Saccharomyces cerevisiae S288C: one gene and its partners. The gene in region 1 interacts genetically with each later gene. Each region holds a gene or a part of one and is shown on either strand. Other genes may lie near its edges.

Region 1 (5,949 bases):
TAAAAGAAATTACCTTACCCAATTTGCACAGCAAAGGTCACTGACCTATACGTGCCCTTCATCAGATTACATCACGTGAAATTTCACTGGGAAAGAGCGCGAGGGCTTTCCGATGACTTTCTACATTAATAATCGCAAACAAAGCAATCAGCACAGCAAAGAGTACAATTTCGAAAATTGCGACAGAGCAACGTAAGTATATCGTTGTTGATAGATTCCACTCCAACCTGCAAATGCTGCTTCTTCCAAGATGTCCTGTAATTGGGCGAATTGTAAGATCAAAATTTAGATCTGGTCTAATCCGGAACCATTCGCCCGTTATATTTACTGTGTCTAAGTTATCAACCCAGCGGCCTCTGTTATTCAATTCAGCTGTGAATTTATGGAATCAAGCACAAAAGGATATTACGCACAAAAAATCCGTCGAGCAATTCTCGTCGGCTCCAAAAGTGAAGACTCAGGTAAAAAAGACCAGCAAGGCCCCAACCCTCTCGGAACTGAAAATCTTGAAAGATCTATTTCGCTATATTTGGCCCAAAGGCAACAATAAAGTGAGGATAAGGGTACTGATTGCCCTTGGACTGTTGATATCCGCCAAAATTTTAAATGTTCAAGTACCTTTTTTTTTCAAGCAAACTATTGATTCAATGAATATAGCATGGGATGATCCTACAGTCGCCCTTCCGGCAGCGATTGGATTAACCATTCTTTGCTATGGTGTTGCAAGGTTCGGCTCTGTTTTATTCGGCGAACTGAGGAACGCCGTATTTGCCAAAGTGGCACAGAATGCCATTAGAACTGTGTCGCTACAAACTTTCCAGCACCTTATGAAGTTAGATTTGGGATGGCACTTGAGTAGACAAACGGGTGGTCTGACGAGGGCCATGGATAGAGGTACAAAGGGTATATCTCAAGTGTTAACGGCCATGGTATTCCACATTATCCCTATAAGTTTTGAAATATCTGTCGTTTGTGGGATTTTGACGTATCAATTCGGTGCGTCATTTGCCGCAATAACATTCAGTACAATGCTTTTATACTCCATTTTCACTATAAAGACGACCGCATGGAGGACACATTTTAGAAGGGATGCTAACAAGGCCGATAACAAAGCTGCCAGTGTGGCTTTAGATTCTTTAATTAATTTTGAGGCGGTAAAATACTTCAACAATGAAAAATATCTTGCAGATAAGTATAATGGCTCCTTGATGAACTATCGTGACTCTCAAATTAAAGTATCGCAATCTCTAGCATTTTTGAACTCCGGCCAAAATCTAATTTTTACTACTGCCCTAACTGCAATGATGTATATGGGTTGCACCGGCGTTATTGGTGGCAACTTGACAGTTGGTGACTTGGTTCTAATTAATCAGTTGGTTTTTCAACTATCAGTACCGCTAAATTTTCTTGGTAGTGTTTACAGAGATTTAAAGCAGTCTCTGATTGATATGGAAACGCTATTTAAGTTAAGAAAAAATGAAGTCAAGATTAAAAATGCCGAACGTCCCTTAATGCTTCCAGAAAATGTTCCCTACGATATTACTTTTGAGAACGTCACGTTTGGATATCATCCCGATAGGAAAATTTTAAAGAATGCCAGCTTTACCATCCCAGCAGGCTGGAAAACCGCAATAGTTGGGTCTTCGGGCAGTGGGAAGTCCACCATTTTAAAATTAGTCTTTAGATTTTATGATCCTGAAAGCGGAAGGATCCTCATAAACGGTAGAGATATTAAAGAATATGACATCGATGCCTTGAGGAAGGTGATTGGTGTGGTACCACAGGACACACCACTTTTCAATGACACTATCTGGGAAAATGTAAAGTTCGGTCGTATTGACGCAACCGACGAGGAAGTGATAACTGTAGTTGAAAAAGCCCAGCTAGCACCCTTAATCAAGAAATTACCACAAGGTTTTGACACCATCGTCGGGGAGCGAGGGTTGATGATCAGCGGTGGTGAAAAGCAAAGGCTGGCAATTGCAAGGGTACTATTGAAGAATGCAAGGATCATGTTTTTTGACGAGGCCACAAGCGCCTTGGACACACACACAGAACAAGCTCTCTTACGAACCATTAGAGATAACTTTACTTCGGGTTCGAGAACGAGTGTATACATCGCACATAGACTGAGGACAATTGCAGATGCAGACAAGATCATAGTCCTTGACAACGGAAGAGTAAGAGAGGAAGGTAAGCATCTTGAACTGTTGGCTATGCCAGGGTCATTGTACCGCGAACTTTGGACCATACAAGAAGATCTGGATCATTTAGAGAATGAACTAAAAGACCAGCAAGAACTATGAACGCTCGTAAGTAAATATTGATTTATACATGTATAAGTTTTTCAAGATTTAAGGAAAAAAGAAAAGTTATTATCTTTCTCCGCGGTTTTTCAATGACCCGATGTATTGACTCTTCCTGACCGAAAATAACAGGACAGAGTTAGAACGAACATGAATAATAAAATATAATCTGGGATCATGAATCCGAATGACTGCTCATGCGGCAAATGTCAGAGCTTCGGTGTATTTAAAGTTTGCTTACTTACAATTTCAATAATAGGTTTGTACTTTTCAGATTCTTATTATTAAGTCAAGGTAAAGTCCTTCGTTTTTTTTTTTTTCATTTTAGAAAAATTTCAACAGCCACCGTACAATTTTATTCACTTTTAAGTCATAGTTGCGAAGACATCGTCTTGAAAGTAGTAGATTTCGTTCTAATAAGTTTAGCAAAGAAAGAGGTACAGCAAACAGCAGAATAGAAAAAATGTGTGGTATTTTAGGTATTGTATTAGCAAACCAAACCACTCCAGTAGCTCCGGAGTTATGTGATGGATGCATTTTTCTACAACATCGTGGACAAGATGCAGCTGGTATAGCTACCTGTGGTTCTCGTGGTAGAATCTACCAATGTAAAGGTAATGGTATGGCTCGTGACGTATTTACCCAACAACGTGTTTCCGGTCTTGCTGGTTCCATGGGTATTGCCCACTTGAGATATCCTACAGCCGGGTCTTCGGCTAATTCAGAAGCGCAACCATTTTACGTCAATAGTCCTTACGGTATTAACTTGGCACATAACGGTAACTTGGTGAATACTGCATCATTGAAGAGATATATGGATGAAGACGTTCATAGACATATTAACACGGACAGTGATTCGGAGTTACTATTGAATATTTTTGCTGCTGAACTGGAAAAACATAACAAGTACAGAGTTAACAATGAAGATGTTTTCCACGCGTTAGAAGGTGTTTACCGTTTATGCCGTGGCGGTTATGCTTGCGTTGGTTTACTTGCCGGTTTTGCATTATTTGGTTTCAGAGATCCAAATGGTATTAGGCCATTATTGTTCGGTGAAAGAGAAAATCCGGACGGCACTAAGGACTATATGTTAGCTTCAGAAAGTGTTGTTTTCAAAGCTCACAACTTTACTAAATATCGTGACTTAAAGCCTGGCGAGGCAGTTATCATCCCTAAGAACTGTAGCAAAGGTGAACCTGAGTTCAAACAAGTGGTTCCTATTAACTCTTATAGACCTGATTTATTTGAATACGTATATTTCGCCAGACCGGACAGTGTCTTGGATGGAATATCAGTTTATCACACAAGATTGGCTATGGGTTCTAAATTAGCGGAAAATATTCTAAAGCAACTGAAGCCAGAAGATATTGATGTTGTTATTCCCGTCCCAGATACTGCAAGAACATGTGCACTAGAATGTGCTAATGTGTTAGGGAAGCCTTATAGAGAGGGCTTTGTTAAAAACAGATACGTGGGCAGGACATTTATCATGCCAAACCAGAGGGAAAGGGTTTCTTCAGTAAGGAGGAAGCTTAACCCTATGGAGTCTGAATTTAAGGGTAAGAAGGTTCTGATAGTGGATGATTCTATTGTCAGAGGTACTACTTCAAAAGAGATTGTTAACATGGCCAAGGAATCCGGTGCAACAAAGGTTTACTTCGCTTCAGCTGCCCCAGCCATTCGTTACAACCATATTTATGGTATTGACTTAACAGACACAAAGAACTTGATTGCTTATAACAGAACCGATGAAGAAGTGGCGGAAGTAATCGGTTGTGAAAGAGTCATTTACCAATCATTGGAAGATTTGATTGATTGTTGTAAAACTGATAAAATAACCAAATTCGAAGATGGTGTATTTACCGGAAATTATGTCACTGGTGTTGAAGACGGTTATATTCAAGAATTGGAAGAAAAACGTGAATCGATCGCAAATAATTCATCAGATATGAAGGCTGAAGTCGATATCGGATTATATAATTGTGCAGATTATTGATAGATTGTTCCGAACTTGTTCAGTTGTATGTAAAATAGTTTCCAAATGCGCCCATTTATACATAATTATCTTTGTATTCTGACCTAAACTAAATATATATATATATATGCACGTATTAAAAAAAAAAATAAAAGCAAAAAGGTAAACAAAGAGAAGTAATCCGCAACTTGTACAAAAAGAAAAGAAGATAAAAGAATTGTATGTATTAATGGATAATTGTAATGCCTGGGACAAATTATTGTCTCAGAATGAATCCACAATCAACAGCACAGAGACTGCTACGATAACAGCAATCATATATTCCCCATCAAGTAAAACACTGCATCAATTTATAAATATCTGTTTTCCAGAGGGAAGCAATTCAATACTGGATACCACTTTGATTAATTACGCCACCATAGGATGGACCAACGACTTAAAGGAAAATTATTCTGTCGATGTTTACACGCTAATAAGAAACACTGACGATGCACTAGATCTTCTAAAGCCGTTTTTACAAGAACATAGTTCGAAGGTTCGCTGGCTCATATTATTAGATTGGACACTGAACGACCAAAAGTTGTGGCTGAATGAACTATCCTACGCATTCAATAAAATTAAGCAACTGAATGACGATAATGAATTTTCTGTATGGTGCTTAAACAGTGGCGAAATATTAAACTTACAAAGACACACTACAGTATGGCAGTCAGTACATATTGACTTCATTTTGCAAACGTTAAGATCGTTTTGCTATTTTAATGATAGCTCACTATTCTATATATGCGAAGACCATACCGAAGAGAAACGAGAGGAAGCACAAAGGCTTAAATACCAAGAGCTTCTAAAGCATTTTTGTGAAGATAGAGATATGAAAGATCATATTGAAATGGTCAAACGCAGTGAGATATTAATACCGAAGGGGTGCGATTCTATTGGATTGATAAAAACAGTAGACGAAAGATTTGAGCCTACTGAGGTGAAAGAGCAACACTTTTTGGCCCGATATATGGACTTTATACCAACAATTGATAAAATCAGAGAAGATAGGAAAACAACCTCTGGTATCGACCTTGATAAACTATATCCTTTAGAAGTTTTCAAAGTTAATATTCAAGAGGAATTAGGCAAAATGTTCGCAAAATATAGGGAAAATTCGAGGATTTAGGAAAGTGGGCAGGCGATACTTCTTTTATCATGAGCAATTTTTTTCTCTTTATATGTATAAATATAGATATGCACACGCATTTATAAATCCCTATATCAGGGTTGGATTTCTTCTATGTTTATGTATGTAAAAGAAAGAATTCACATGTGATAAATTGTGGAATCAGCACATAGTTCTTGAACCAGCTCAGAGTCTGTGTCGTACCCGACATAAGCTACGTAGCCAGGTTCACCTTTATCTTCGTGAATTGGGTAGTGGACGGGTGGAACATTATCATTCTCGATGATACAGAACGAGAGATGTTCATCATTTGGTTCATAATCTCTAGTGATTCTCTTTACTATAGTTTTATATTCGCCTCTTTTGTCACAACTTGGCCCACCACGTGCCCAAAGCTTGATTACTGAGCCAGACTGGGGTTCTTTGATTGGGGTACAATGGAACCATTCATAGTTAATTCTTGTACCATACTTGAAGTATTCAACCGCAGCGATCAGCAA
Region 2 (8,017 bases), on another chromosome or scaffold:
GGGACGCACTATTCTTATTATACTAGTTGCAACATTCTTAATTCTCCCAATAGCCCTGGTTATGAATGGCCTGGGAACCGCTTATAGTTATATTGTTACTTGCAAGTACCGCAAAATGCTCTCTAATGGCATTCTTCACAATGAGGTCAGAGGAAAATTAGGATTGACGGAGCAACTGAAAGGCTATGTTACAGATGCATACGGGTCCATCATAAATTCGGCTTTAGATATGGATGCGAACTATGAAGCAAGTAATAGTAATCTTGTAAACGAAGAAGAGCTTCCTTGGAAGGAATTTATCCAAAAATACACAACTATAAATGATGGTGTTTGGAAATCTAAATTTAAAAAACTGCCTTTTGATGAAAACCGAAAGGTTATTTTGAGAAATCTAAACAAATTGAAATGGATTAGAGTTCCAATATACATAAAGGCTGTAAATGCGCATGGCGTGATTGTGGCACGTAGAGGAATGGACGAGAATACAGCTGCTACTGGGATTGCTTGTATCGAATTTACGGCCCAATTACTAGCATACTTGATGCACAAGAGTAATTGAGCACTTGATTTACACGAAATAGTATATATTTTTGAATGAACACTCTCATGTGATTAAAATGTATTACTACCACTAATGCTTGAAGGGAATTGATAGACTCGTTTTATAGTGGGGGAAAAAGAAAAGAAGAGGATGGTACCCGAATAGTTACTGACAAAAATAAAGAACTCCTCATAGGGGGCTCGAACCCCTGACATTTCGGTATCCTTGCTTAAGCAAATGCGCTTAAAAGCCGAACGCTCTACCAACTGAGCTAACAAGGATGAGTTCTTCGGAGCGTCCTAAATAAAGATTTCTATAGATAGTGGGTATTTAACTTAGGTTATTTAAAGTAATTAACTACCGAAAAGGATACATTGCTAAACTATTTGATAAATGTTGAGGTATAATTTTTATAAAGGAAATAATTTTGGATAGAGTATGTTGGAATAGGAATCAAGTATTATTTATCGACTAGCATTCATATTATTAATATAGTATCATATGCGGCGTAAAAAGATAACCCTAAAGATGAGAAACAGTCATCAGATTTAATGGGAGCTGGATTGCAAGGATATATAATGTAATAATATAATGACTATTATCATAAAGAACAGAAGAAGAATATCAATATTATTAGAAAGAGATATGGATACTCTTTTGGTGGATTTCAATTCTCGAGGGGAACTTTCATATATTTTGTGTATCTAATATTATAGCCTTTAGCAACGGTAGAAGCCCAATAATAATCATTCATTACCTCATGGTAGAGCCTATGATTTGGTTACTTCTAGGGAAGCGTACACAAATCAAATTCGTCACACGTTTCCAATTTGCAAACCTCATATGATAAGGTTTCCAGCAACGCCAACTTTCAACGGATAATACACCTGTTTTATCAGCTGCTCCAGAGAATCATCATCATCGTATCTGCTCAATTACTGTCGTCACAGAATGGACCGTACTTATAGCGATATAATCACTCCGAATCAAGCCAAGCCATCTAGTTGGTCATTTTTAGGACGCCCGACTATAATGTCGTCGATGTATTTTCAATCAGATACTCAACCAACAATTTTATAGTATATATCACCATTGAGAAGCCCTTCACGTAGTTGAAACAGTATACTAACCCAACAATCTCGTATGTTTTTTGATACACCAATCACGTCTCGCAATTTTTCACCGCCACACATTCTGTGGGGGAAGAATACTTCTACTTGGACTAAATTCTACATCAAGTTTTGAAAAATTCCAACCCACAGGCAACATTCATTCTAATGAACAGGGTGAATTCTGCGACCACTATCGTACGAAGAGCATTCATATTTGTACAAAACATTTCAAACGTTTGTTCCGTTTCATTTGTTGCCAATTTGGTTCAAGAAAACTTTAGAAATCAATTGCAGCAATTTTCAAACTGTTCTCTATAAAGCATGAAGAATATTGAACCTTGAATATAATGGAAGAATATCTGCAGATTTATTTGAAGCAGTGAACACTCTGACCTACAGATTAAAGGAAGACGATATAAAGGTAATGACAGACTAACTTGGCAGTTTATCTAAAAAACTTTTCGGAGAATTCAGTTGCTTACGCCAGTAATACTGTGGTAGAAGAAATATTACTTGGTATTCAAGCCATCTACGAGGAAGGAAAATTTATAAAAAACACGAGTACAATAACACGAAGGGAATAAATAAAAATGTCATATGTTCATAACAAGTGCACAGATCGCCCTGCTGATTATGTTACGGATAACAAGATAGAATATCCTTTGGAGCTCGACAATTCTACATAGTATTATATTTTTCTCTTCTTCTTTTCTTTGTTCATTTCCATTGTCATATTTACGTATTTGCTGATGATTGTTGGCATTCCATAATATAGATAACATTATGATAATAATTTCGTCTAACAATCTGTATCATCTTATCAAACCATACATAGCAATATACTACTGATTTAAAACCAGCTAATACAAGATATTTGATCTCTATTTCAAACAAAGGATTTTAAATGTTCTTCAATATGGTCTTCTTTTTTCATTTATTTTTTTTGATTAATATTTTGTTGAAAAGTAAAAGTTTTGAGACATGCAACTTGTATTTCTCAGAAGTGAATAAAAATAAATATATGAGATTTAAGATAGAAAAAACAAATCATCTTTAAAAACTTTCTTTCCTAGTATAGCCACTTTTTATAGTTACAATTGTAAAGAACTGCCTATAAACAATAAGTCTGTCTGCCATATCTACGTTATTATTTAATTTCACTAAATAACCGCCCAGAAAATCGTACAGTGTGATTTTCTTTCGTCATCTAATATTTCCCAATGAGGTAAAAGGTAAATAAGCTTGAGAATCTTTAAGAGGAAACAAATACAAAAATATTATTAAAGTCGAATACCTGGTTTTTTCACAGAACAATAGCAAAGATACGAACAAACGGCTATTACCGAGAATAATTATTTTAAGGACTAATTAGAGCATTTTAATAGGCTATTTTTAATCATCAGATATAGCATTCTGGCATTAGAATTCAAAGGTTTCATTTTGGATTCACTACTTTTGATGTTGAAATGGAGACAGCAACTTCTTCCCCTTTGCCCATTAAATCGAGGAGAAACAGCGAAAATTCTGGGTCTACTACAGTTATACCGCATATGAACCCTTCTTTAGCAACACCGTTGACTGTGTCGACCATGGTAAATCAATCAAATTCTAAAGAGTTTATGAAGTTGACCCCAGTTCGTATTAGAGATTTTGGTTCTCCTTTGAAAAACGTGTCCACTAATTACCATTTTTTAGACTCAGAAAATGGTAAAGGTAACACAATGGATAATATGTATAGAGAAAATTTCATTCTTATTTCAAAGGATCTAGAGAAATTACTGGAGAATCTCAATGTCATATATCAAAATATTGGGTATTCTAATACGGAAATTATCACCAAGGAGAAAATCATATTCACCACTATATCTAATTCCATAAAACAATTTTTTGAGCAAGCTGACGAAGAATTGAAAAGACTGTCCGCAGAGAACGGAATTGAACAGGATATTCTAAATAACATTCTAGAGAGAATAAATGACCCAAGTGGCATAAAGACTATTCCTGACTTATACATTAGAAATGCTATTCTACTGCAAGAAAGTAAAACTGTGCCACAGTCACCGAAAAAGCCACTTTCCTTACTAAGCAAAAAAGCAGCATTAGATACAGCAAAAAAATTTGTCCTAGGAAGTTTTTTACCCAGGCTCCGCGACTATTTAAAATCCTTAATCACTCTAAAACACCTCATACAATCTGTAAAAGAAAACCTTCCTGGATTGACAGAAGCAGATAACGAGGCTATCGCCGAGTTTCCAGAATTAAGCACATTAACCGCATATTTGTTACAAATAGAAAATGGTAAAGGCGATATTGGTTTGTCCATGAAATTTATTATAGATAATAGAAAAGATATTTTAAAGGGATCGGCATTTAAAACTATTAACGAAGAATCTGTGAAACACATGAATGAAGTCATAAAAATTTACGAGGAAGAATACGAGAGGAGGTTTAAAAGCGTACTCACAAAAAAGGTTAGTATTTCATCAATATGTGAACAACTTGGAACTCCCCTAGCAACGTTAATCGGTGAAGATTTTGAACAAGATCTAAGATCATATGGAGAAGAGGAAAACTCCACATCAGAAATACCAAATTTCCACCCGGTAGACAGAGAAAGAATGTCTAAAATTGATATTACATTGGAAAAACTGCAAGCTATCCATAAGGAAAGAGCAGACAAAAAGAGGCTCCTGATGGAACAATGCCAAAAACTTTGGACAAGGCTAAAAATTTCTCAAGAATACATAAAGACTTTTATGCGTAACAATTCAAGTTTATCAACCGAGTCCTTAGGTAGAATCTCTAAAGAAGTTATGCGACTTGAAGCAATGAAAAAAAAACTAATAAAAAAACTTATATCAGATTCCTGGGACAAAATTCAGGAATTGTGGCGTACGTTACAGTATTCAGAAGAAAGTCGGTCTAAATTCATCATTGTATTTGAAGAACTAAGGAACAGTGCAACAACTTTACAGGAAGATGAGCTTCTTCTAGAAACTTGCGAAAATGAGCTAAAAAGACTAGAAGAAAAACTGACCCTTTATAAGCCAATTTTAAAATTAATATCAGATTTTGAATCTTTACAAGAAGATCAAGAATTTTTGGAAAGAAGTTCAAAAGACTCTTCACGGCTTTTGTCTAGAAATTCTCATAAGATATTACTAACTGAAGAAAAAATGAGGAAAAGGATAACAAGACACTTTCCTCGAGTCATCAATGATTTAAGAATTAAATTAGAAGAGGCCGATGGTCTATTTGATCAACCTTTTTTGTTCAAAGGTAAGCCACTTTCAGAAGCAATTGACATTCAGCAACAGGAAATCGAAGCAAAATATCCAAGATGTAGAGTTAGAATGCAGAGATCTAAAAAGGGAAAATGTGGTGCGAACAAAGAGAATAAAGTCATAAAAAACACTTTCAAGGCCACAGAAAGTTCCATCAGGGTACCGATTGGTTTGAATTTAAATGATGCCAACATTACTTATAAAACGCCTTCAAAGAAAACAATACAAGGCTTAACAAAGAATGATCTATCCCAAGAGAACTCGCTTGCTCGTCATATGCAAGGAACAACGAAGTTATCTAGTCCGAACAGAAGAGCAACAAGATTACTAGCACCCACAGTAATATCTAGGAATTCCAAAGGGAATATAGAGAGACCTACCTTAAACAGAAACAGATCATCCGATCTTTCATCATCGCCTAGGATAAATCATACGCATGGCGAACATGCAGTAAAACCACGCCAATTGTTTCCTATCCCGCTGAACAAAGTCGACACTAAGGGTAGTCATATCCCTCAATTAACTAAAGAAAAGGCTTTAGAACTTCTTAAAAGGTCGACTGGCACCACGGGTAAGGAGAATGTACGAAGCCCGGAACGCAAAAGCTCATTAGAAGATTACGCACAAAAATTGAGCAGTCCTTATAAAGAACCTGAGCACAGCATATATAAACTTTCCATGTCGCCAGAAGGTAAATTTCAATTAAACATTCAACAAAAAGATATTGAAAGCGGATTTGATGATACCAGTATGATGGAAGATGAAAATGATAAGGATTTTATTACATGGAAAAATGAGCAAGTTTCGAAATTGAATGGATTCTCCTTTACAGATATTTGAATTTCTTAAAAGCGCATTCATTTAACCCTCTGATCTCTTATTTATTTTTTTTGTGGTTTTTTTTTTCACATCACTTTCTAGCCTTCGCTACATTGTCTCTTTCTTTCCTTCTTTTATTCTATCATTCTCCCTTTCCTTTTTCCATTGCACCGTGACTCTGGATTAATATGGACATAATAAAATTTGTAATATTCAATATAATCATGTAAGCATTCCAAGTAAATACGCAGGTTGGCTAGTCTAAATCGAAAATGTAACATTACTACCATACTATATATCTACATATTGTAATTGTGTAGGTATATACTAATCATTTACCAATGTTTAGGTTCCATGCCTTCTGGTGGTGAAGTTTTAACCGTTCCCTTAGATACGTCTTCCCAGTCTGTACTCAATGCAGTACCATTACTTTCTATAAAGGATTTCATCATAGCCCTTTTGGTATCTGGATCCGCTCCAGCGTAAAGCTTTTGAAAGAAACTATCAGCCGATCCCGCTTCTTCATCAGCTTCTTCATCAATGTCAAGTTTAGACCAATCTATTTTTTTTTTAGAGGACGATGGATAAGACAATCTCTCTTTTGATGCCGTTTCTGCTGATAATAAGCGGGTTGCAGAATCAGAATTTTTACCCTCATCTGATAACCTTGAGGATTCCGTTAAAATATCTTCTTCCAACTTCTTCCATTGCGTGCTATCAATTTTGCTCAAGGTAATTTCCAGCTTTTTTGGGAAAATTTTTAATGACACTGCTTTTGGATCCACCTCATGCGAAAGCTTAGCGTTGTATTGAAATTCAGATCCAGATTTCGGTACTTGGTACGATATCGATAAAGTTCTTCTATCGTTTGGAGAAATATATATATTGACTTGTTCCTTAGACTCAGGAAGATTAACAGTAAATAATGATATAGTGACAGAGGTGCTGGATTGATACCAATCGATTTTAAATTTAGGGGATTCTTGAGGAGCGGTTTCAATTTTGAGAGGTGAAATGGGACTATGAGAAGAATTATTATCTCCTCTGTTTTCAATACTTTCCACTGGTTTAATTGTATGCTTATTAGTTGAATCCTTCTGCTTTTTATTTTTTTTATTCAATTTTGTCTCCAGACGATCTTCCCATAAAGGCAAAGTGTCATCAACGTAACCAAGATTCTTGGCTTTTTTAAAATAAGATTGGGCCAGTTCATAATCTTTGATATTGAAGAAATGAACAAAATAACGAAAGTTAACAAGACCAATCTTCGATCTATCGCCCCTACCCTCAGCTGTCATTAGAGCCTTGTCAAGAAGTTCCTTTGCGTTTTCCATAGTTGCATCGCTGTGCCAATCAGAAAACCCAAAGTATAGCTTTTCAAGACATGCTGCCTTAAAAATGAGAGCCGTTAAATTTGTGGGTGAGCCTTTGAGAATTTCATCATAAAGATGGAGGGCCTTCAGTGGTTCCTTCTCATCATACAAAGCTTTGTAGGCAGTTTTTAAATCTTTTTCAACAGGCATTTCTTTTTCGTTTCCTTAAAACAACTACCTCTTTAACCTTAAAAGACTTCTGCCATTACTTTGTCATAGTGCTTTCGTTCAATTATTAGCGTTCAAAGATATATCGCATATGATCAACTCATCTTGAGACCTTACACCCTAAAGTGCTTATATTGGCTTCGTTTATAGTGATCAAAGTCATCAATATAGTGCTCGTCAGTGTAAGACTGAGAAGATCATTCTTAAAAGAATTAGCAGATGATGCATAAGCACTATGGCGGTATTATCTACTATCATTTCTCTTGTATCTGTGCTGAGCCTGGTTCTATTGAAGAAGAATTCAAAATTTGAATGTCTCAATAGAAAAACCCGGACATTCCATAATGCAAGATCAAAATTTTTCGATGAGCTTTGTTTTGCATTGGCAAATTTTTACCTGCTAAGAAGAAGTCTACATGGAGAAACAGCACCATTATCTCAAGTATGTTCTTAACATAGAGGTCGTTCAGTCAGCGCTAGATAAATCTCATCGGCGATCATAGTTCAGTATTTTTCTAAAGTTTCTTTAAAGGAGCATAATATGACCGAAAACCAAACCGCACATGTAAGGGCGTTGATATTGGATGCCACCCCATTAATTACGCAGTCCTACACACATTACCAGAATTATGCACAGTCTTTTTATACTACTCCCACAGTTTTTCAAGAAATTAAGGATGCTCAAGCAAGGAAAAACCTTGAAATTTGGCAGAGCCTCGG
Region 3 (5,323 bases), 480 kb from region 1:
CAGATGAGGATCTCATGTCAAAAACCGCCAAGAAGCATGCATTATTGAATTTGAAACGTGGTAGATTATTAAGTATATGTCTATGTAATATTAAGTAAGACAAGGGCATTCACTTTACATGCAAATGCATTTGGAACCCTTGACCGAAAAAAAAAAAACAGGTTAACCGCAAAATACATGATCTTCCTTTATTAGAAGAACCGTTTGGCTTTAGTTAAAAATTGATGCTTTTCAGTGGAATGACGATCTTCGTTTACCTGACGCTCTTCATTTTCATCAACCTCATTTAGCAAGACTTCAGGGTCCACGTGCAAGTCTCGAATAACCTTTTCGGTCGCATCTTCCATATCCATCATACCATAAATTGCAATTGTGATAATACCAAGAATACCGGCAAAGCAGGAGAATGTCATGGCAATAATACCTTTTTTGGTAAAACCGGTAGGAATGAAGGCATGCTGAACATTTTCACCAGTTAAATCAGTTAAATCCAGTGTATTGGCAGCGGCGTTACCTTCAGTGGCCACAGAGCAACTCTGGCAAACTTCTAAGTGGTTTTCACTGAGTTGTTGAGAATGAGCATCTTGGATACCAAAAGGATCCTCCACGAGAACAAGACCCAAACCTTGCAACAAATGCCATTCGATATGACAATGGAAGAACCAAACACCTGGGTTATCGGCTTTAAACCTGATGACGAAATTGGATTGTGGTCTAACGTATAAAGTATCTCTTCTCATTGGGTATTCTGGGAAGGCAGGGTGGTTGTCCGGATCGAAACTGTGAGGAACTTCACCTAGGGCATCATCATATGTACGATCTCTCTGGATGGTTTGGAAAGCGTGACCATGTAAATGGAAAGGATGGGTACCTGTGTCCTGGTTATTTAGCACAATCTCCACGATTTCATCCTTCTCTAGGATGAAAGTGTGCGTGTTTGAACCGTAGATTTCGGAGTTGTTTGCTTGATCACCTGAAGACAAAACGGTCATCAAAGTAGGAACTTTTGGTGCAGTATAGGTGATATTATTGAAGAAGGCGTAATTCACACCGTTTTTCAAGTTATCCATAACAACGTCAACGGTAATCACATGATCTGGCTCGCCATAGATGGCTTCTTTCTCGTACGGTTGCAAGTAGAAATCGTCCAAGAAGTTATCAATTGAATCCACGTAATTTTGTGTGGGCAGCGCAGCGGTTTTGTTGTAGACCATATAAGAGGTTGCATTCAGCTGTAAATCACTTGGAATGACATCCAACATGGTGTCATCAAATTTCTGCATGATGGCGAAATTTTTGTCCGTGTCGTTTTTAGTGTGAACCAGGACTGTATATCTCTGAGCGACAGTGATGTAAAGCATATCCGTTACGTTCTTCTCGGTAGTGATACCGTCGATTTCGACCACGGTCATTTCGTGGTCCTCGATCCAAAAGTACTGCGAAACGAACCCACCCACGTTGACAATTCTCAAAAGATACGTCGTATCGGGCTGGACTTCCCATGTCAGATTCATCGTGTTGTTAACAATCAAGTTCTGTGGGATGGGCTCAGCACCTGTCGGATTATAAACACTCATGAACGACTTCGTCAAGTCCGTGACCAAGTCGTGGTACCACTCACTAAGCGATAAAGAAAGTTCCTCATCGTAATCGTAGGGGAAGCTATCATCCTTGATGATGAAAAGACCTTTCATCCCGTCTTCATATTGACCGTCCGTGTGTGAATGGTACCAGTAGGTGCCTACATTGTAGTCCACCGTGAAATTGTAAAGCATAGTACTGCCTGGCGCAATTGGACATTGCGTCAAGAAGGGCACACCGTCCATAGAGGCGGTTCCGTTTTGGAAGAGACCGTGGAAATGCATAGAAGTATTGGTGTTGTTCATTCCGTTGGTCAAGTAAATCTGCACACGGTCACCTTTGTTGACCGTTATATCTGGCCATGGGAACTGGCCATTACAGGTGATCACGGGACGGCTCTTTAGCCCATCAACGTTCCTGTAGTCCCAGCCAGTGGTCCAATTAAACGTGTGCGTCTCCGCTTGTGCTAGCGAGAGCATCGAGAAAAGCAAAACGGCTATAGAGAGCAAAGCGTTAGTCATCTAGTTCTAATTTTTTGCTACTCTTCCTTACACTGGGGTCCTCTTCGTTTCCTATGCCTATCCATCGCTTATAGAACAAGAGCTATAGGGCATGGCCTGCTTACATACATATATATATATATATATATATATATATAATCGCACTACATGCACGAGGCCTTGGCATACTCCCTCGAAGGATCGACTGTTTGAGTGCATCCTTCATTTTCTGTCGCAATTGGCGAGAATAAGAGCACCTGCAAATGGGTGCACTTTTGAAGATGGGCCTTGCCTGTTGGGCCTGCCTAAGTCAGCCTCGCCTAGCTCTAGGCGGAGGGTCTTTATCGGCGACTCAGCGTACTGTAGGGACCACCCCAGGCGCAACGGGCTGATTCGCACCCGGAAAGTAAAGCTTATTTCTGTCGGACGGAGAGTGTCCTTTTTCTCTCGCAGAAGACCATTTATTGGTCCTGAAACGGTATGAACATGTTATTATTCCTGTAACCGTGAAATAGGCAAGCCAAGGCATTATCGCAAAGAAGGCAGCACAGATTCTCGTATCTGTTATTCTTTTCTATTTTTCCTTTTTACAGCAGTAATGTCTCACACAGAAACACAGACTCAGCAGTCACACTTCGGTGTGGACTTCCTTATGGGCGGCGTTTCTGCTGCCATTGCGAAGACGGGTGCCGCTCCCATTGAACGGGTGAAACTGTTGATGCAGAATCAAGAAGAGATGCTTAAACAGGGCTCGTTGGATACACGGTACAAGGGAATTTTAGATTGCTTCAAGAGGACTGCGACTCATGAAGGTATTGTGTCGTTCTGGAGGGGTAACACCGCCAATGTTCTCCGGTATTTCCCCACGCAGGCGCTGAATTTTGCCTTCAAAGACAAAATTAAGTCGTTGTTGAGTTACGACAGAGAGCGCGATGGGTATGCCAAGTGGTTTGCTGGAAATCTTTTCTCTGGTGGAGCGGCTGGTGGTTTGTCGCTTCTATTTGTATATTCCTTGGACTACGCAAGGACGCGGCTTGCAGCGGATGCTAGGGGTTCTAAGTCAACCTCGCAAAGACAGTTTAATGGATTGCTAGACGTGTATAAGAAGACACTGAAAACGGACGGGTTGTTGGGTCTGTACCGTGGGTTTGTGCCCTCAGTTCTGGGTATCATTGTCTACAGAGGTCTGTACTTTGGCTTGTACGATTCTTTCAAGCCTGTGCTGTTGACGGGGGCTCTAGAGGGGTCCTTTGTTGCCTCTTTCCTATTAGGTTGGGTCATTACCATGGGTGCTTCCACTGCGTCGTATCCCTTGGATACGGTAAGAAGAAGGATGATGATGACTTCGGGCCAGACCATCAAGTACGACGGTGCTCTGGACTGTTTGAGAAAGATTGTTCAGAAAGAGGGCGCGTATTCCTTGTTCAAGGGCTGTGGTGCCAACATATTTAGAGGAGTCGCTGCAGCTGGTGTCATCTCATTGTACGATCAGTTGCAACTCATAATGTTTGGCAAAAAATTCAAGTGAAAAAAAAAGAAAACAACAAACGAATAAAATCTAAAAATTCTACATATTCTTGCTATTTATTTACATATTCATTCTTGCTACATACCTGTCTTATGCTATAATGACACTGGAGGTCTTCTTTCTTCTTTGAATTTATGTCCTGACAATTCAGTAAACGCCGTGCGGAAGGGAACCGTTTACGTACGCCAAGCTAAACATTGAAAAAAAAAAAAAAAAAAATGATAATAATAGTAATAATAGTAACGACGTAAAGGTAAAAGAAACAACAGACTTTTAAACTTGTTAACTTTTGCATGACCTCAATTGAAGATCTGATATCAAATCCTCCCCTGCTACTGCATTCCTCACTCTCTCAACTTCGCTACCTCATACTCAGTGAAGGGCTTCCCATATCTGAAGATAAACAGCAGCAGCGCACGCGATGTTACGTGTGGACGGTGCTCTCTCAAACTTCTATGGAGGCGTCTACACAACGGTACCTTGCGCTCTTGAAACTGGGCCCACCTTCCACAACCATTTACCAAAAAATCAAGAACGACACATCCAGAACTTTTCAGACGGATCCAAACTTTAGAAATAGAGTCTCAGAGGATGCCCTCATCCGGTGTCTGTCGTGCTTTGCTTGGCAAACACAACAAAGAAGACAAAAGACTCGTTTTGGTCGCATTCCTGTGAGCACATATGTGCAGGGCATGAACGTGTTATTAGCTCCTCTGCTTTACTCATGTCCTTCTGAACCTATGGCGTATCAACTTTTCACTAAGCTTTGTTATGAAATGATACCGACGTATCTAACTAAGAACCTAAACGGCGCCCAGAACGGCGCCAAACTACTAGATATTTCTCTCAGAATCATTGATCCAAAGCTGAGTAAATTTCTATCGGACAATTTACTTACAGCAGAGATTTATGGTATGCCTTCCATACTCACGTTATCCAGCTGCAATAAACCGCTTGATCAGGTCATTAAACTGTGGGATTTCATGTTTGCATATGGATTCCATATGAATATTCTCTTTGTGGTGGCATTCCTAGTTAAAATGAGATCCAAGGTTTTCAAATCGGATTCCCCTGTTAATTTACTACGACAGTTTCCGGATTTTGATGCTGACGAGATCATTCGGCTGGGCGTCGGGTTCATCGCTAAGATCCCTGCTCAAATTTATGACCTATTGGTAGACCACTTGACCGACCCAGACATATATATACCGTAAACTATGTGAAGAAATATTATATTTTATCGTTTAATTCTACAACGTTTATATGTCTGTATGTGTAAAAAAAAATAAAACGAAAAAAGCAGTGGGTAGATGAGAAAATTTACAGTAATTTAAGGTTATTATTCTATTATTGCACGAAATGAAAATGGCTCGTACGCATATCCTTCACCTTCAAAAAATTTGGACATTGCCTCCACCCAATGCAAACGTAGCGCATGCAACATTGCGGAAGTACCTTCCATGAAAACTAGGATACAAACGGTTAAAACAAACCACATAGCAAATAAGAAAACCACCTTCATGACAGCCAAAGGCGACCCTGAGTTTTTAGAACTGAAAGCGTTTGAAATTGTCATATCCCATAAAACACTAGATAATTGCGCATGCGCCAACGATAGTGCCCAAAGACGTAGATATGATGCTGTATGAGAGATACAATTTAAACAGAATTCAATAGTATGGATTACCTGATGAATCATGACATCGCCGAAATT
Region 4 (5,554 bases), on another chromosome or scaffold:
TGGCAGACTAACCGCTGCCGATCTGGTACCACCATACGAAACTACTGTCACATTACAAGAATTACAACCTCGAATGAATCAATTGCGCTCGCTTGCCACAAGTGGTGACTCTTTGGGAGCCGTTCAATTACTCACAACCGATCCTCCATACAGTGCAGATGCTCCAACAAAGGAGCAATATTTTAAGAGCGTCCTTGAAGCATTGACACAAGTCAGGCAAGCCGATATTGGTAATGTAATCAAAAATTTGAGTGATTCTCAGAGGGACGTGCTGGTAAAGTATCTCTACAAAGGAATGTCCGTACCTCAGGGCCAGAAACAAGGGGGTGTCTTGCTTGCGTGGCTGGAAAGAATTACTCAAGTCAGTGGTGTCACACCTATCGTTCATTATATATCGGATAGAAGAACTGTATGATACTCTGCCCAGTAAAACTTAGTATAAAGAAATATACATATATATACGTAATTTTAAGGGTCGCGTTTGTTATATGCTTTTACTTCAGGCATTTCGCGGTGATGTAGGTATTGAGTTTTTTTTTAAAAAAATTGACATTGTTTGGCGAGGTTGAAGATATAAATGCCTGGATTTTAAAAAGCTCAGTTGCTACTCAAACCAAAATGTCAACAAATCAATTTGCACAAAACAAGTACGCATAAACTTTGAGAGCATGAGTGAGACCAATGGTGGCAATGCAGCCAGGGAAAATTCTGAGGTGAAACAAACTGCAGTTGAAAATCCTATCGATAAACTAGATGGAACTCCTAAGAGACCGAGGGAAAAAGATCAGGATGAACAAGCGGAAGAAACGAGTGACAAATCAGAAGCACCCAATAAAAATGATGAGGAGAAAAAGGAGGAAGGTAAAAAAGACCAAGAACCATCGCATAAGAAGATCAAGGTTGACGACGGAAAGACCGTAGAATCTGGTATTGTGGAAGATGACAAAAAGGAGGATAAATTCGTGTTTGGTGCCGCATCTAAATTTGGAACTGGGTTTGGTGTTGCCAAAAAGGACACGAAAGATGGAGATGCAACTACCAGTACTGAAAGTTTACCAGCCTCTGACAGCAAAACAAAGAAGCCATTTGCATTTGGTTCAGGTTTATCATTTGGCAGCGGCTTCAACATACTGAAAAACAAAACAGAAAATAACTCTGAAAGTGAAAAGAAAGCTACTGATGTTGACAAAGATAAAGTCCATAGTGGATCTGAACAACTAGCGAATGCCTCAGAAGATACAAAAGACAAACCAAAACCCCTCAAATTGCAGAAACAGGAAGTCAAGTCTGGTGAAGAGTCTGAGGAGTGCATATATCAAGTCAATGCGAAGCTGTACCAACTTTCCAACATAAAAGAAGGCTGGAAGGAAAGAGGTGTTGGTATCATCAAAATCAATAAAAGTAAGGACGACGTCGAGAAGACGCGTATTGTTATGAGGTCTCGTGGTATCTTAAAAGTCATTTTAAACATCCAACTGGTCAAGGGGTTCACTGTGCAAAAAGGATTTACAGGTTCTTTGCAAAGCGAAAAATTCATAAGATTACTAGCAGTAGATGATAACGGTGATCCTGCACAGTACGCCATAAAGACTGGTAAGAAGGAAACCACGGATGAATTGTATAACATTATAGTTAAATCCGTTCCTAAATAAGTAAAGAGAAATAACGTTAAAAATAAATCAAAGATAAAAACAAATCAGTTTTGTTTAACAAATGCTACACTACATATGGTCGCACCCTGGACCCCGCCAAATTGGAAAACAGGGTATTTTATTGTTTTCCACATTTTCAAATTATCAGTCTCTATGATCTTTACTAGTTCATCTTGTGTGAAATTACAAGAAGTGATCAAGAAAATACCGTCTTTTTTCAAAATCCTTTCCACTACTCCGGCGTATACATCGACTACATCAAGTTTACCGTTGATCTTCATGCCACTCAATGAAATGGCATCTAGGGTCCCTTTATCCAACACAATGTCATACTTTCCCGGCTTCCAGTCACCACTAAAGATGTCTGCTTGCTGGAAACTGATGAAATTGTCAACACCGGTGGCCTCGGCTATATTACTAGCGAGTTTGACGCTTTCCTCAGAATAGTCTATCCCGACCAGTTTCCCTTGGAATTCCGTTTGATGCAGTTCAAATAACATGTGTCCATTACCTGTACCGAGGTCTACAACAGAAGCATTCTCAGAAATTCTGTACGCACCAATGTTATCTACCAGAAAATCAATCATCTTTTGTTCAGCATCGCTATCGCTAAACCAACAGTCCCCGGTATCCTGCGGATTCCGCCTGAAATTCTCCAGCTCCAGGGCATACAGTTCATCCCAGTATTTTTTCGTACCAAGTTTCGAAGTGCTCAAATCTGCCGTGCCCTGCATCTGTACTACCTTTTCGGGTTGAGTTCGTTCCATAATACCGTTCTTAAGAGCTGAGCTCATCGATTTTTTTTCACTTCTTTTCATGAACCAATCTTTTTGCGCATTTATGCCGGAACACCGCAAGCGGGCTAGGCTGGACCCCTTTCAAAGCAAAGCTGCCATTGCCACTATTCTGCACAGAAGTTATCATATACCTTGCGTAAAAACGGCACATAGAAGCACAGATCAGAGCACAGCCATACAACATAAGTATGACCAAAGTAGATTTTTGGCCAACTCTTAAGGACGCATACGAACCACTCTATCCGCAGCAGCTGGAGATTCTGCGCCAGCAAGTCGTCTCCGAGGGGGGGCCCACCGCTACCATACAGTCAAGGTTTAACTACGCATGGGGGCTGATCAAATCCACTGACGTGAATGACGAAAGGCTTGGTGTGAAAATCCTCACAGACATTTACAAAGAGGCCGAGTCCCGTAGACGAGAATGCCTATATTATCTGACCATAGGTTGCTACAAACTCGGTGAATACTCTATGGCGAAGAGATATGTAGACACTTTATTTGAGCATGAGCGTAATAACAAGCAGGTGGGCGCTTTGAAGAGTATGGTAGAGGATAAGATCCAGAAGGAAACACTCAAGGGTGTTGTCGTCGCTGGAGGCGTACTAGCCGGCGCTGTGGCCGTGGCTAGTTTCTTCTTAAGAAACAAGAGAAGGTAACAAGCACATAAAAAATCAGCACATACGTACATACATAAGAATGAATCGCACGCACGCGTAAACATTTATCATTTAATCTTCAGTTGTTAGATAAAAAAAAAAAGAAAAGAAAAGAAAGTGAAGGCTTGTTTCAGTTTGAACTAGGTAGCAGAGCAAGCCCTCGTTCTTGGCTGCTAATTTTCCTAAAGTAGTAAAAAAAGCCAAGTTATCTGCCTACGGTTGTCACAGCAACATTGCGTGCCGTTGTTCTTTTGTTTTTTTTTTTTTTTTTTTTTCGTGGTTGTCGCAGCAACGACACCTAGGCGCTGCTCAAAGGGGCAAAAACCCGGTTGCCATGGCGAGGACCAAACGACAAGATGGGAAAAAAACAATAGTCTATTGTTAAATCGTAATACTGTATTGTGAGATGCTGACGCGTTTCGTTTTTCGTGTCAGCGTTCTTTATATTGTTTCGTGTTCTGCTGCAAAACGTATATAAACGCACTGCTATTTTGCCTTCTTTTGCCTTCTTCCTTGCCTTTCTCTCATCTCATATCCAAGTTGAAATAAATATGACAAGCAAGAATAGCAGCAGCAATAAATCAAATACTCCCACACAAATGTACGTTATTAAAAGAGACGGCCGCAAAGAGCCCGTTCAATTCGATAAAATTACCTCCCGTATCACCCGTTTGTCATACGGTTTAGACCCAAACCGTATTGATGCTGTTAAGGTAACCCAACGTATTATTTCTGGTGTGTACTCCGGTGTTACTACCGTTGAGCTGGACAATCTTGCAGCTGAAACATGTGCATACATGACCACTGTGCACCCTGATTATGCCACTCTAGCCGCTAGAATCGCCATCTCTAACTTACATAAGCAAACCACAAAGCAATTCTCCAAAGTTATTGAGGATTTACACGACTGGATTAACCCAGCTACTGGAAAGCATGCTCCTATGATTTCGGACGAAATTTACAACATTGTCATGGAAAACAAAGATACTTTGAACTCGGCCATCGTGTACGATAGGGATTTCCAGTATACGTATTTCGGATTCAAGACACTGGAGCGTTCGTACTTGCTAAGACTGAACGGTGAAGTGGCAGAACGTCCTCAGCATTTGGTAATGCGTGTGGCGCTAGGTATCCATGGTAGCGATATCGAATCTGTGCTGAAGACTTATAATTTGATGTCGTTAAGATACTTCACTCACGCTTCCCCAACTTTATTCAACGCTGGTACGCCACATCCTCAAATGTCTTCATGTTTCTTAATTGCCATGAAGGATGACTCTATCGAAGGTATTTATGATACTTTGAAAGAATGTGCTATGATTTCCAAAACTGCAGGTGGTGTTGGTCTTCATATCAACAACATCCGTTCCACAGGTTCTTATATCGCTGGTACCAACGGTACTTCAAACGGGTTGATTCCTATGATTCGTGTTTTCAATAATACTGCCCGTTATGTGGACCAGGGTGGTAACAAGAGACCTGGTGCTTTCGCCCTTTTCTTGGAGCCATGGCATGCAGATATCTTCGACTTTGTCGATATCAGAAAAACACATGGTAAGGAAGAAATTCGTGCAAGAGATTTGTTCCCTGCTCTATGGATCCCTGATCTTTTCATGAAACGTGTTCAAGAGGATGGGCCTTGGACTTTGTTTTCGCCCAGTGCTGCCCCAGGTTTAGATGATGTGTGGGGTGATGAATTTGAAGAACTATATACTCGTTACGAAAGAGAAGGTCGTGGTAAAACAATTAAAGCCCAAAAGTTGTGGTATGCCATTTTGCAAGCACAGACAGAAACAGGTACACCTTTCATGGTTTATAAGGACGCATGTAACAGGAAGACAAACCAACAGAACTTAGGTACTATCAAATCATCTAATTTATGTTGTGAAATCGTCGAATATTCCTCCCCGGATGAAACTGCAGTTTGTAATTTAGCTTCTATTGCCCTACCAGCATTCGTTGAGGTTTCAGAAGATGGTAAAACTGCAAGCTATAATTTCGAGAGATTACACGAGATTGCTAAAGTCATTACTCACAACTTGAACAGAGTTATCGACCGTAATTACTATCCAGTTCCCGAGGCTAGAAATTCAAATATGAAGCATAGACCTATTGCTCTTGGTGTCCAGGGTTTGGCCGATACTTATATGATGTTGCGTCTACCCTTTGAATCGGAAGAAGCTCAAACTCTAAACAAACAAATCTTCGAAACTATTTACCATGCTACTCTTGAAGCCTCCTGTGAATTGGCCCAAAAAGAAGGTAAATATTCTACTTTTGAAGGTTCTCCAGCTTCTAAGGGTATTTTACAATTCGATATGTGGAACGCTAAACCATTTGGCATGTGGGATTGGGAAACCTTAAGAAAGGACATTGTTAAACATGGGTTAAGAAACTCTTTGACTATGGCACCAATGCCAACCGCCTCAACTTCCCAAATTCTTGGTTA

What was found.
Region 2: mutations in DYN3 (region 1) and ASE1 together harm fitness more than expected from each alone (negative genetic interaction), as found in Saccharomyces cerevisiae (3 studies listed by BioGRID, with this or other methods).
Region 3: mutations in DYN3 (region 1) and BUB2 together harm fitness more than expected from each alone (negative genetic interaction), as found in Saccharomyces cerevisiae (3 studies listed by BioGRID).
Region 4: mutations in DYN3 (region 1) and FIS1 together harm fitness more than expected from each alone (negative genetic interaction), as found in Saccharomyces cerevisiae (4 studies listed by BioGRID).

What each region holds. Positions count from the first base shown.
Region 1 is NC_001145.3:863,912-869,860, reverse strand, and holds DYN3 (dynein light intermediate chain), read left to right. Parts: upstream 1-4,510; coding exon 4,511-5,449; downstream 5,450-5,949. Other genes in the region: ATP-binding cassette Fe/S cluster precursor transporter ATM1, read left to right, coding at 234-2,306; ADE4 (amidophosphoribosyltransferase), read left to right, coding at 2,770-4,302; sphingosine N-acyltransferase subunit LIP1, read right to left, coding at 5,590-5,949. UniProt on the Saccharomyces cerevisiae protein: Component of the cytoplasmic dynein which acts as a motor for the intracellular retrograde motility of vesicles and organelles along microtubules. May play an important role in the proper orientation of the mitotic spindle into the budding daughter cell yeast.
Region 2 is NC_001147.6:431,448-439,464, reverse strand, and holds ASE1 (Ase1p), read left to right. Parts: upstream 1-3,119; coding exon 3,120-5,777; downstream 5,778-8,017. Other genes in the region: LPL1 (putative hydrolase), read left to right, coding at 1-559; co-chaperone SGT1, read right to left, coding at 6,092-7,279; NOB1 (rRNA-binding endoribonuclease), read left to right, coding at 7,839-8,017. UniProt on the Saccharomyces cerevisiae protein: Required for anaphase spindle elongation.
Region 3 is NC_001145.3:385,601-390,923, reverse strand, and holds BUB2 (Bub2p), read left to right. Parts: upstream 1-3,902; coding exon 3,903-4,823; downstream 4,824-5,323. Other genes in the region: ferroxidase FET3, read right to left, coding at 192-2,102; ADP/ATP carrier protein AAC1, read left to right, coding at 2,680-3,609; STV1 (H(+)-transporting V0 sector ATPase subunit a), read right to left, coding at 4,949-5,323. UniProt on the Saccharomyces cerevisiae protein: Part of a checkpoint which monitors spindle integrity and prevents premature exit from mitosis. This cell-cycle arrest depends upon inhibition of the GTP-binding protein TEM1 by the BFA1/BUB2 complex.
Region 4 is NC_001141.2:238,859-244,412, reverse strand, and holds FIS1 (Fis1p), read left to right. Parts: upstream 1-2,637; coding exon 2,638-3,105; downstream 3,106-5,554. Other genes in the region: ARC15 (Arc15p), read left to right, coding at 1-415; YRB2 (Yrb2p), read left to right, coding at 669-1,652; EFM4 (Efm4p), read right to left, coding at 1,697-2,386; ribonucleotide-diphosphate reductase subunit RNR3, read left to right, coding at 3,705-5,554. UniProt on the Saccharomyces cerevisiae protein: Has a role in mitochondrial fission. Has a role in outer membrane fission but not matrix separation. Required for targeting MDV1 to the mitochondria.